Drosophila melanogaster: one gene and its partner. Changing the gene in region 1 together with any one later gene gives a genetic interaction. Each region holds a gene or a part of one and is shown on either strand. Other genes may lie near its edges. The genes, in order: Spn28Dc and Hayan.

Evidence for each region.
Region 2: of Spn28Dc (region 1) and Hayan, changing one suppresses a phenotype caused by changing the other (phenotypic suppression), as found in Drosophila melanogaster (one study listed by BioGRID).

What each region holds. Positions count from the first base shown.
Region 1 is NT_033779.5:8,004,011-8,009,374, reverse strand, and holds Spn28Dc (serpin 28Dc), read left to right. Parts: upstream 1-2,164; 5' UTR 2,165-2,242; coding exon 2,243-2,943; intron 2,944-3,814; coding exon 3,815-4,724; 3' UTR 4,725-4,827; downstream 4,828-5,364. Other genes in the region: CG12560 (uncharacterized protein), read left to right, coding at 1-119, 180-427, 484-657, 723-933; Wwox (WW domain containing oxidoreductase), read left to right, coding at 5,187-5,278, 5,341-5,364. UniProt on the Drosophila melanogaster protein: Serine protease inhibitor which is required for pupal viability and plays an essential role in regulating the melanization reaction.
Region 2 is NC_004354.4:18,479,434-18,485,676, forward strand, and holds Hayan (hayan), read right to left. Parts: upstream 4,340-6,243; 5' UTR 4,008-4,339; intron 3,211-4,007; 5' UTR 3,204-3,210; coding exon 3,122-3,203; intron 3,057-3,121; coding exon 2,876-3,056; intron 2,701-2,875; coding exon 1,924-2,700; intron 1,796-1,923; coding exon 1,728-1,795; intron 1,700-1,727; exon of another isoform or gene 1,633-1,699; coding exon 1,361-1,632; exon of another isoform or gene 1,296-1,360; coding exon 1,109-1,295; exon of another isoform or gene 1,052-1,108; coding exon 705-1,051; 3' UTR 550-704; downstream 1-549. Other genes in the region: psh (persephone), read right to left, coding at 5,216-5,562, 5,621-5,804, 5,863-6,146, 6,212-6,243. UniProt on the Drosophila melanogaster protein: Serine protease which, by converting prophenoloxidase 1 (PPO1) into its active form, plays an essential role in the melanization immune response to physical or septic wounding.

The DNA of each region.
Region 1 (5,364 bases):
CCCAAGGCTATCCGTGCATAAATAATTTCATTAAGTGGGTGGAGATAGACCCGCAATTGAAGGTCAATTTCCTATCGTTGAATGGCGACTGGCAGAGCGATGGAACCTTTGTTCTAACGGTAAGTTATGCGATGTGAAATGCAAAAGTTCGGTGATTGAATGTTGTCTAATCATCTCAGCTACGTTCGGATACTCATATGAACCACATTTACTTCAACACACTGAGCGAAAATTTGGATCGAGTGACGAAAGCGTTAGAATGCCTCAAGTCCATTGAGAATGAATACGATTTCTTTGGGTTTTCTACGCGATTGAAACCTGTGGTGGAGTATATTGGCAACAAATATTATGCCAACAAGAAGCTGCACACTGTGGATACCGTTTGGTACGCGGCCAGCAAAGAACTCGTAGATACATTTAACATTCAGTGAGTTTGTACTTTATACTCTATAACTCTCAATGAAACGAATAATTTCAATTTAGGGTTCCTCCGGGCTTAAGTCTACAGCACTTGACCATCGAAGATGCCGAAATCATCAATGAAAACTGGCCACATAATAAACCCGGCTCTATAGACTTTGTGAGAAGTTTAATTAAATATAATATTAATTTGGGTGCTTATGACGACAAGGGAAAGTTGGTTGCCTGGTGTCTGCGGTAAGCCATCGAACTGTATATAAATGTATATAAAAACTTATTAATTAATTAACTTTCCTGTTTAGATTGCCGATTGGATCCCTGGGTCTGCTGCAGGTTCTGGAGTCACATAAACGCCTTGGTCTCGGCAGCTTGCTGGTGAAGTCGATGGCTAAGAAGATTTCCGCAGCGGGAGATCAAGTTTTGGCGCCAGTAGTAACGAAGAACACCCCCTCGAGGAGCATGTTCGAGAAACTGGGTTTCCGTGCTATAGACAATACATACTGGGCTGCCTAGCAACTGAGAAGAAGCCAAAAACTAACATAAATATTATTAAAATAAATATAGTGTAGGAAATGATTGGTTTTTTAATAATAAAGAAGAGTGAATCAGCTCATTCAATTATAGCTGAGCACCCATGAATTTGAGCTTGAATTAAATTGAGATGGATTGTAATGTAAATTTAATATAATATATTGGATAAAATTGGTGAATATAAAATGATATAATCTTGAAATGTTAATGATTTCAAAGGAAGTTATTTACGCTTCCTTTGCACGTTTCATTTTTAATATTTTTTATAATGAAACTTGTGCTTAAATTGTCAAGTTAAATTTCCGGATAATATTTACTTTAATGGTCGATGGTTTTTATTATGATCAGTTTACCATAAACTGAAGCTGAAACTAACTAACTTAGAGTTAATAACTTACATGATAGATAAAAAACTTACACAACTACCATTAACTATTTTTGGTAACTGGCATTACAGAAGCAAAAATGAGTCATCGAATCTAAAATAACTCATAAAGCAAGTAACGCTTAAATATAATTTACGACGGGCTTGTACGACGGCATTATCTATTACCAATAAAACCCATCTCATATTTGTTTAGTTCTGATGGCCCAACAGATGAGCACAAATCTTATCCTAGCGCTGGGAAATCCCACCACGACTCCATCACCGTGTCAATGTGCCGCGAACTTTCCAATGACGAGACCGAGAATACGCACCAAACATAATGACTATAGTATATAGCTAATAAATATTTAAACTATTTACTCACCGGTTGCGAGAGAATATCAGTATGCACGTCACGGGTTTGAGATACATACGTACGTACATACATGCATAGATACAAATGGATGGGAGAGGGCTGCCATGGATTTCCGCAACAAAGTTCGCAGAATGCTGATATGAATGGGCGGGGGGCAGTACATGAGTACGTGAGAAAGTACCGATCGATGAAGATCAATAACAAGTGCAGACACGGGTCAGCCATGTAAACAAAGCCGGGGTATAACCAGTGACTCGTCGACGAAACCTCTCCCAGATCCAAGCTCGCCAAGATCCGAGAGCAGCTGGGGATGCAGAGCGCGAGAGATCGGGGACTTGAAGGAGCGTTTTTGCTTGATAACAAGTTTCCGATTCCAGTTTTATAAAGATGCGCGCTCAGCGCCAATCATTCAGTCTGGCTTTAACAACTCGCACAGCCACATCGCGTTTGCCTCTAAAAAAAAAAAAAAAAATATATATATATATATATATATATATAAAGTTCGTTCTGTGTGTTGCGTTCGAGATTAACAAAAAGAAAATTACAAAATGTGGCGCTTGCTTTTGGCACTTTTGCTCGTGAGTTCGGTGTGCTGTGAATCGGAACTATTTCGTGATGACCTGAGGACCCCGGAAACGATGGCCTACATCAATGGACTGATGCAGCGGCGGCATCAGATGCAACAGGAGGCGCAGCAGCACATTCAGGCGATACCGCCTGCGGTGCCCCTTCAATCGCCCGGCCTTGTGAACGGCCTTGGCAACCAGAATGACCCTGCGTTGAATCGCATATCCGGCACTTCGGTGAAACCTTCCAACCTTCCGGCTGCCTACTCCAACGGCTATGTGGATCTGGCCACCTCTGATCGGATTGCGAACAGTGTGCTGAACTTTGCCAACATTCTGGGCCAGCATTTGGCCAACGGTAAAACCCAGATATACTCTCCCCTGAGCATTGTACACTCGCTGGCTCTGCTGCTCCTGGGCGCCAAGGGTCGCAGTTACGAGGAGTTGTCCACGGTCTTCGATATTCCGGACACGTCCAGGCTGCACGAACAGTTCGGCCTGATGCTGCAGGATCTGCAACAGCCCACCAGGGAGGCGATCTCCGCAGGACGACCGCTGACCGATTGGCGGGCGAGCAGCGCGATGAGATCCAATCGACGGGCCCAGCGACCCGGTGCTCATGAGGTGCACCTGGCCAATGGACTGTTCACACAGACCGGCTACACACTCAATCCCGACTACAGGTGAGCCGAGCAGCGGATAATTATCCGGCTGCAAACTGGAACTATAGCGATATCTGGTTGGGAATGGGTGCTGGGAAATGCCAAACGATTAGCGATCGCCTTGAGGTTTTACACCGTGAAAAACTGAAGGCCATGCGGGCTAAAGTGATCTCCTTTTCTGAATGCCAAGTGAGGGAAACAGGTTCATTGTACCAGCAAAATGATCTCACCCATTATCATCAAGCGTTTAGTGTCTCTTGATGGTGGTGCTCCAAAAGGAAGTATTTATTTTATATTCGAAGATAATATACAACGAGAAAATATTAGAATATATTTTTCTGTGTAGAAATGAGCGTGTAATTCCACTTATATTTATGAATCTTTAAAGCCCAAGCTTTCATTGAGAAATATATATGTACGTACGTACGTATAAAGTTTAGAATATAAATGGGAACCATTGACAAACAAATTTAGTAAGAACTTTTAGTGCGATTGTTTTTATGTAGAGAACTTGAATAAAATTAAATCGGAATTGGAATTGGAATTATCAGTTAATCAAATATTTAATTAGAAACCTTAGGTCAAATAGTAGGTACAATGAATTGCCAAAAATTTGGCAAATAAAAAGCACTGATAAGAATGGATTAACTTAAAAACATAACTAAGACATTTAATTATTTATTTATTCTTCAATTATAGCTGATCAAACATTGCAAAAAAAGCGGAAAAAAACTACTTTCCCAAGTTATTATTTAGCTCACCAGATATTGCAATTCCAACCCATCCCCAGTTCCCCAATACTATCGCTCCACTTTGCACAACGTTGTTGGCATACTAATAGCTGCGCCTTGTTGATTTATTACTCATGAGCTCCACTTTTGTGCAATTCCAGACGGGTGATCGTCGAGGTCTACGCCTCGGATCTGCAGATTCAGGATTTCGAGGGCAGTCCGGCGACAGCACGATACAATATCAATGCTTATGTGGCGCAGCACACAAAGAATCACATCGAGAACATCATCGCCAGCGATATTCCGCAGACCACCAGGATGATTCTGGCCAACGCATTGTACTTTAAGGCATTCTGGGAAACGGACTTTATAGAGTCAGCCACACGTCCGGATAACTTCTATCCGAATGGCGAGGGAACGGAGCCGGTGATGAGGGTGCAGATGATGGCCACCGGTGGTGCATATCCGTATCACGAGGATCACGAGCTGGGCTGCAAGATCATTGGACTGCCGTACAGGGGAAATCTGAGCACCATGTACATCATCCAGCCGTTTAAGTCGTCGGTGAGGGAGCTAATGGCACTGCAGAAACGTCTGACGGCGGATAAGATCGAGAGCATGATCAGCCGAATGTACAGACGGGCCGCTCTGGTGGCATTCCCAAAGATGCATCTTACGGAGTCGGTGAACTTGAAGACAGTCATGCAGCGAATGGGGCTGGGCGGCATCTTTAGCGCGGTGCAGAATGATCTCTCGCTCATCGCCACCAACGAGGCCACGAGGACGAATGCGCTGGGCGGCAACAGCCTGCAGAATCTGGAGGCACAGCGCAGAGCCGGAACGGGTGGAGCACGTTCCGATCTGGTGGTGGATGACATTGTTCACAAAGTGGACTTCACCGTCAACGAGCAGGGCACGGAGGCGGCGGCGTCTTCGGTCACATACCTCAAGAAATCCGGTCCCGATGTCCTCTTCCGCGGAGACACTCCATTCATGGTCCTTGTGCGCCACGATCCCACGAAACTGGTGCTCTTCTACGGACTCATAAATGAGCCCCCGGCGGCCGCTTAGTTTCTAGGATCATAAGTTATTAAGCTTTAGCACCTAAGTTCGTTGACTTTATAGTTAGGAAACTAATAAATCATTCACAATGATGAAAAATAAATTAAAACGTAAATTATGAAAATTTGTATTGGTTTTTGTTGCTGTTGAATCTTTTCACATTATCCTATGTACCGTACAGCAGGCAGATTAAACAATGCCCACAAATGTTCAAGGCGCTAAGTTTCTACAAATCATTTAAATTTAAAAAACAACCGCCAATCAACCGGTTGCGGTTAAAAGCTCTGTTAAACGGAGATGCTGATTATTAGCGGGTAACATGTTTCGTTTAACGGAACAGCTGTTCATTTAGTCGGCAGTTATCGCTTAAGCCGCATGTTATCGATATCTTCAATTATTTTGTATTCTTTTTCGCAATAAAAAGTGTATACTTTAGAAATAAAGCTTTAAATAAGTTTAAATTGATTCGAAATGATAGCCCTACCCGACACAGATAGCGAGGATGAGCTGCCACCCGGCTGGGAGGAACGTGCCACCGATGACGGCACCGTTTGCTATGTGAAGTAAGTCAAAAGTCCAGTGGAGTCGTAAACATTGTCTGATATTTTTTAATTGCACCATTTAGCCAGCAGGGAAAAACATCACAGTG
Region 2 (6,243 bases), on another chromosome or scaffold:
AGGCAAACCGACAGCTTCGCAGTCTCGCGACCAACTGAAGCCCGAGGAGTCCTGGCAGCGCCATTTAAGCAGCTCCCACTTTTGCTGCCCGCAGGAGTGCGGCCTTGTGGGGAGAGCGGGGGCTGGTTTGCTGCGAGCGGACGGGGCCAGTGGGTCGGTGGGTGGTGGGTGGTGGGTGGTGTTTGGCTGGCTGTTTGGCCGCAGTAAGCCGGCAGCACTTTGTAACGGCGGCGAACAGCTGACTGCAAAAGCTCAGTAAGCAGCTTTTGTCGCAACTTTCGAATGCCACACCTGGCAATGCCGCGCGCAGCGAGCTTTTGCGCTCTCAGTTCTGTTTACGTACGAGCGGGTGAGGCGCAGACAGCGATAGTTTGACAGCTGTCCCGAAACCAGGGCTGCTGCAAAACGTCAGTGGGTAAAGTGCTTGGCACTTATGATACCTCTTAGTTGCCTCAGATGTTTGAATTTCTATTACACTATTATACTACACTATTATACTACACTATTATACTACACTATTATATAAAATAAAATCGATTCTAACATTTTGAGGAACTGAATGAACAACCCTTATGGCTTCTTTAATGACACTCACTGAATTGTGTCGAACTTTGTCTAAAGACAAAATACCTTTATCAAACACTTTTGATGGGAAACACCATCCGATCCGTTCAAACTAAATTTATTGCAGATCAAATGACGCCTCAGAAACGATTCGACGGCCACACGATACCCTCGATATAGTCGAGAAAGGAGGAGACGCGTGTGTAGAGGCCCGGGGTCTTGGTGGCGCAGCCGAAGCCCGAGGAGATTACGCCTACGATCGAGTAGGTGCCGTCGACGTCGTCAATCTCCAGGATGAGAGGTCCACCGGAATCGCCCTGACAGGCGTCCTTTCGCTGATTCTTGTCCGCCGCGCACAGCTGCGAGGCAATCACGCCCCTTCTCAACGTCCGGTTGGCACTCGGCTGTTCCGCAAAGGATGCATTGCACTCGTCGGCCGGCACCAGATCCAGAGCCGCCCGCAGCAGGATCTTTGATACGGCACGATCTGTAAAGACACCATCGAACACAATCCAATCCTGCAGTTTACGCACACACAACTTACTGGTCACATTCATTACACCCCAACCGGCGACGAAATATTTGTAGTTCGCTGGCGGATCACTGCGATCCGTGTAGAGACAGGCGGGACGGATGACATCGGACTCCTTGGCATCCTCGGCCAGCTGCAGAATGGCGATATCGTAGTACTTACTACTGCCGGAATAGTCCGGATGAATTTGAACATCAATCTGCCAATGGAAGTGAGTGAGTTCAACTGGTTATCTCGCACCATGTGTCACATGGCGATACCAACCACATTGATGTCCTGGTAGCCCGGCTCGGGATTTTCGATGTTCAACGCACCCAGACGGACGAAACTGGGTGTGCTATCGTCACTATTGACGCAGTGAGCCGCTGTGAGGACGAATCGACTGGCGATGAGCGATCCACCACATCGGAACGCTGCGCTCCCGAAGGAGTTGTACGCAATGGCCGCCATGTGGGGATAGACGCCCCTATCCACCCGTTCGCCGTCCAGAATGTGCACCGTCAGGGGCTTTCCACCGGATCGGATCTTCTCACACGCTATCATCAGATGATAGGAAATTTAATATATATTGTATATAATATATCTCCAAAGATATTTTCATATAAAATATTCCAAAGAATGCGCAACTCACCTGCCACCGACGGTCGCTCCTTCTCGGGAAGATTGACGCGGGAGGGATTGGGATTGGGCGTCGTTGGCCTGCGAAAGACAAGGTATATCAGCGATTAAAATTGGGCTCACGATGGTTTCCACCTGAGACAGAGACTGCATGCGGCTCCCTGGCTGAGGCCAACTGATGTCCATGCCAAAAGAATGCTCAGACAAACCGCGTCTCGGCTGGATTGAAGATGCTGGGAGCTGGATCCGCGTCTAGATTATTGCTGACATCGTTCCAGGGTTCCTGGGGCTGGGTATCCTTGTCTCTGTCCTGGCCCCGAAATCGGTAGGGTTCAAAGGGATCGATCAATTGCGTGGGCGTGGGTGCGGGTGTGGGCGTGGGCGTGGTTTGCAACACCATGGGCACTTCTCGAGCAGGCTCAATCTGCATTCCCTGCTCCCGCAGCCGATCGTTGACCAAATGTATGAGGTTGTTATTATTGGGGCTTGGATTGGTATTGAAATTGGAATTATTCGGTCTTTGGGGTCGTGATCGAGGCGTGGTCAGTGGACGGTTCACAATCCGTGGCTCACGGCCCCACTCCGGTTCCATAAAAGATCTCTGGGTGCTTGCAATGGGTTGAGTCTTCGAAGGAGCTATGCCCCAAGCTCCAACGCTTTGGATGGGCAACTTCATGGGTTCGTGTGTGGGCAACTTCATTGACTCGTGAGTGGGCATCTTCATGGACTCGTGAGTGGGCGTCTTCATCGACTCCTGTGTGGGCAACTTCAAGGACTCGTGGGTTTTCTGCGGCTTTACTGTGGTGCTTAGCAGCTTGTTGAAGTCAAAGAAGTTCTGATTCTCGTCCAGCCGACTTTCCCGCTCCCTTTTCCCCTCGGTGGTCGTTGGAGGCAGTGGCTCCGGTTCTGGTGTTGGTTCCCGCTTGGGTTCGGGTAAACTGCTGCGCTCGGAGCTCGTAGCATGGAATTGGACCTCACGACCTCGACTGTGGGAGTGAGAGGTGTTAGTCTGGCGTTGGACGCCGGTAACCGGGGCATGCAACATCGGTGGGCACACAGCACAAGCGGGACACACACAAACACATATATATGGTGCACAAACAGGAGGACAAAAAACAGGACAATAGAGCGCAGAGGCCAAGGAGACAAGGACACGCTTACTCAGTGGCACAGCAGGCGACGGTGGGGCAGCAGATGATCTCCTCGCGGGCGCCAAAACCACAACTCGGCACCTGGCTGGTGGACAGCGTGCCCGACTTCAAATATCCTCTGATGTTCTCGCAGGCTGAGGAGGAGAGGCAGATTCCCGGTATGTCCGACCTCACCTGGCAGGGATCGCCCTCTGCAACGAGAAATGCGGCCAGCTGGCAAGGATCTAGTGTACGCGCCGCAAGACATCCTACATACCATCCCCAACTGTTACATACGCAGAAGTTGTCAGCACCAGGAGACCCAGAAGGAAGTACCTTCTCGCCGAGATCATCGCCATCGGTCAGCTGAAATTCCCAAAAGCATTAGTGAATCCCATTCTACTTGGTAACGCTTATCAGCCTTATCAAAACCGAAAATGGAAAACATCATTTTCACAACAGGGGAAGCCCTCGTCGAAATGGTAAGGGAAAAACAAACGAGATCTGTTTCTTTCAATCGACTCGACTTTCAGCTGATTAAACCGATCCACATCCACTGCCATTGACCCATTTACGATTTTTTTTTTTTTTTAATATGGGAACACCACAAAAGCATTCTCCATATGAACTGCTCGATTGTAGTAAGCCAGACTTGATTGATTTCATTTGAGAGACTTTGTGTTGATGGAAAGTTTGTGTTTGCCGATTACGACGAGCATTTCACCAGCAGCGCCGCCAGGTGAGATCAGATGATTCATGGGAGGCATGCCGCTGGGATTTTACCACCGGCTAAAGACGTGTACTGCCAACTGATATCGCAGCTACGTCGGTAATAACCGATACGAAAGTAACACCTGACAATTATGCTGCTCAATTGAGCAGAGAGTCGTCAATGTGTCTGCAGTTCAACTGAATCATATATATCCGATTGAAGCAATGCAAAAGTGTCATGACATCACCTGTTATCGGCCCAAATGAAATTGTATTAAATAGGTATGCGATTGCTAATCAGCTTCCGGCCTTCCGCAGTAATTGCCCATTGTAAACACGACGAAATCAAAAGTAGAACATGCAATACATAGCCCCACATCCCCACATCCCGCAATCCCAATGTCCATTGTCCACTGTTCACTGTACACCGACGTCCGCCTTATCGAACGCACCTTTGACACGACCTTTTTTCGGTCTCTGATAAGGGAGTAGTACGTCTACGTATCGATGTCGTTTATTGAGTGCGTCGAGCACTGTGGTGACTATGGCAATCGGGCACCGCACAATACAATACAATTTAATTCAATACCACATAAACAAAACAAAATCCAAGGGAATTACGAAAAAAAAAAATAAAAAATAAAGAAAAAAACACCGCAAAAAGCACACCAGCAGAGTCAATAAAGCTAAAAACCGGTGGCTATCACAAATCGCGGCGGTATGGAATCTGCTGGCTATTTTCCCGGCTCTGACCGCTCAGCAACGCATCGCCCAAGCAACTGAAGCCAAGCTTCTGAGCCCCAGCTGGAGCTGGAGCTGGAACCGATGAGGCCCATTTAGACGTCGACCAAGAAGCGCCGGACCCAGCAGCTGATAGCACCCAGAGCCGATCCTCTCCCGCTGAGCGGCGAACCGGTTTCCCATTCCACCACTTCGCAGAATCGCAGAACGATCCGAAGCGATCAGAAGCCAGAGCACACAAAGCACAAAGGCAGCCTGTAATTAGCGAGTGGGTAAGCAACAGGCGAGCGGTATGGACTAAAGGATACCGCGTAAGGTCTATGCTGCGCTTGGTGACCCCGATATTTACACCTTTAAAAGTCGAGTATAATTGTGTCACAGAATCGTGTTTTAGAACTTACCATATATATAGTTTCAATTGCAGTAATCTTGTTTTTTTTTTTTTTGTATAATTCTTCTCTAATTAAAGTGGTGACCCAGATACTTACTTTCTTGCCTAGGTTGCGACCTAGGTGGTGACCCAAGAAGTCCTTTTCAACTTATAGTCTGAAACATATGCTTAAAATTTAAATTTCTTATGACAAATCTTTCTGAAATAAATGCATTCTGTTTGTATTTCCCCATTTTTTTTATACAGTGCAGCAATTCAATAAAAGTGGTGACCCAGAAATCCCTCTAAAATTAAACAGAACCAGAAAAATCACTTCACAGAGTTCTGGAAACCGAACTGCCAGAAATAATATTGTACCGATTGATTATATCTTAAAACGTATCTACTTTATTGGTATTAAATGGTTCGATCGCGGTGCTCATAGAGATCACAGATGAGTGTTTGCCAATTGCGATGGATCAGGCAGTCCTGATCCCAAATAGAAATAATATACATACAAAAAAAACAAAAACTTTACTTTTCCCAACTTTACACCCGATTGTCCGGCCAGACAATGCCCTCGATAAAGTCCAGATAGGACGAGACACGCGTATAGAGTCCCGGTGTGACGGTGGCGCATCCGAATCCCGACGAGATGACGCCCATGATGGTGTACATGCCGTCCTCCACGTTGAGCTCATGAATGAGCGGCCCACCGGAGTCGCCCTTGCATGCGTCGGCGATGAGCTTTTGATCAATGGCGCACAGCAACGAATCGATCACGCCCTGCTTGAGCAACCTTATGGAACCGGGCTGCTCCGCATAGGATATATTGCATTGGTCCAGAGGCACCAGCTCCAGACCAGCGCGCAACAGGATCTTAGATCGCGCCCGAGCTGCGGATGGTTAGCCATTAGTGGAAGTGGAGGATATGGAACTTTTTGTGCTACCCACTGGTTACATTTAGGACGCCCCAACCGGCGACAAAGAACTTGGAGTTCGATGGCGGATCGGTGGCATCCGTATGGAGACAAGCGGGCCGGATGTTATCCGTCTCGACGACATCACGTTCCAGTTCCAAAATGGCGATATCGTTGTACTTATTGCCCACATACTGCGGATGGATCTTAACGCTTCGCTGAGATATGGTATCGATCAGAATGGCTATAACTTAATGCATAAGCACAGTGACTCACTATGACGATATCCTGGTAGGAATGGTCTGGATTTTCAATGTTCACAGCTCCCAAGCGAACAAAGGCCGGCGTATTGGCATCGGTGTTGACACAATGTGCGGCGGTCAGGACGAAGCGACTGGCGATTAGCGATCCGCCGCATCGGAAATCGGTGCCAAAAGTGATGTAACCAATGGCCGCCATATGGGGATATACACCCGGATCAACCGGATAACCGCCCACGATGTGTATGACCAATTGATTGCCGCTCCTCTGCTGTTTTCGCTCGCGAATCTTCTTGCAGGCTATATCGTGGGATTGGAAATAAGTAGAGGAACTCTAGGAGTGATCTGATCAAAAGAGTAAGCACCTGCCACTGCTGGGCGATCACCGCTTCCGAAC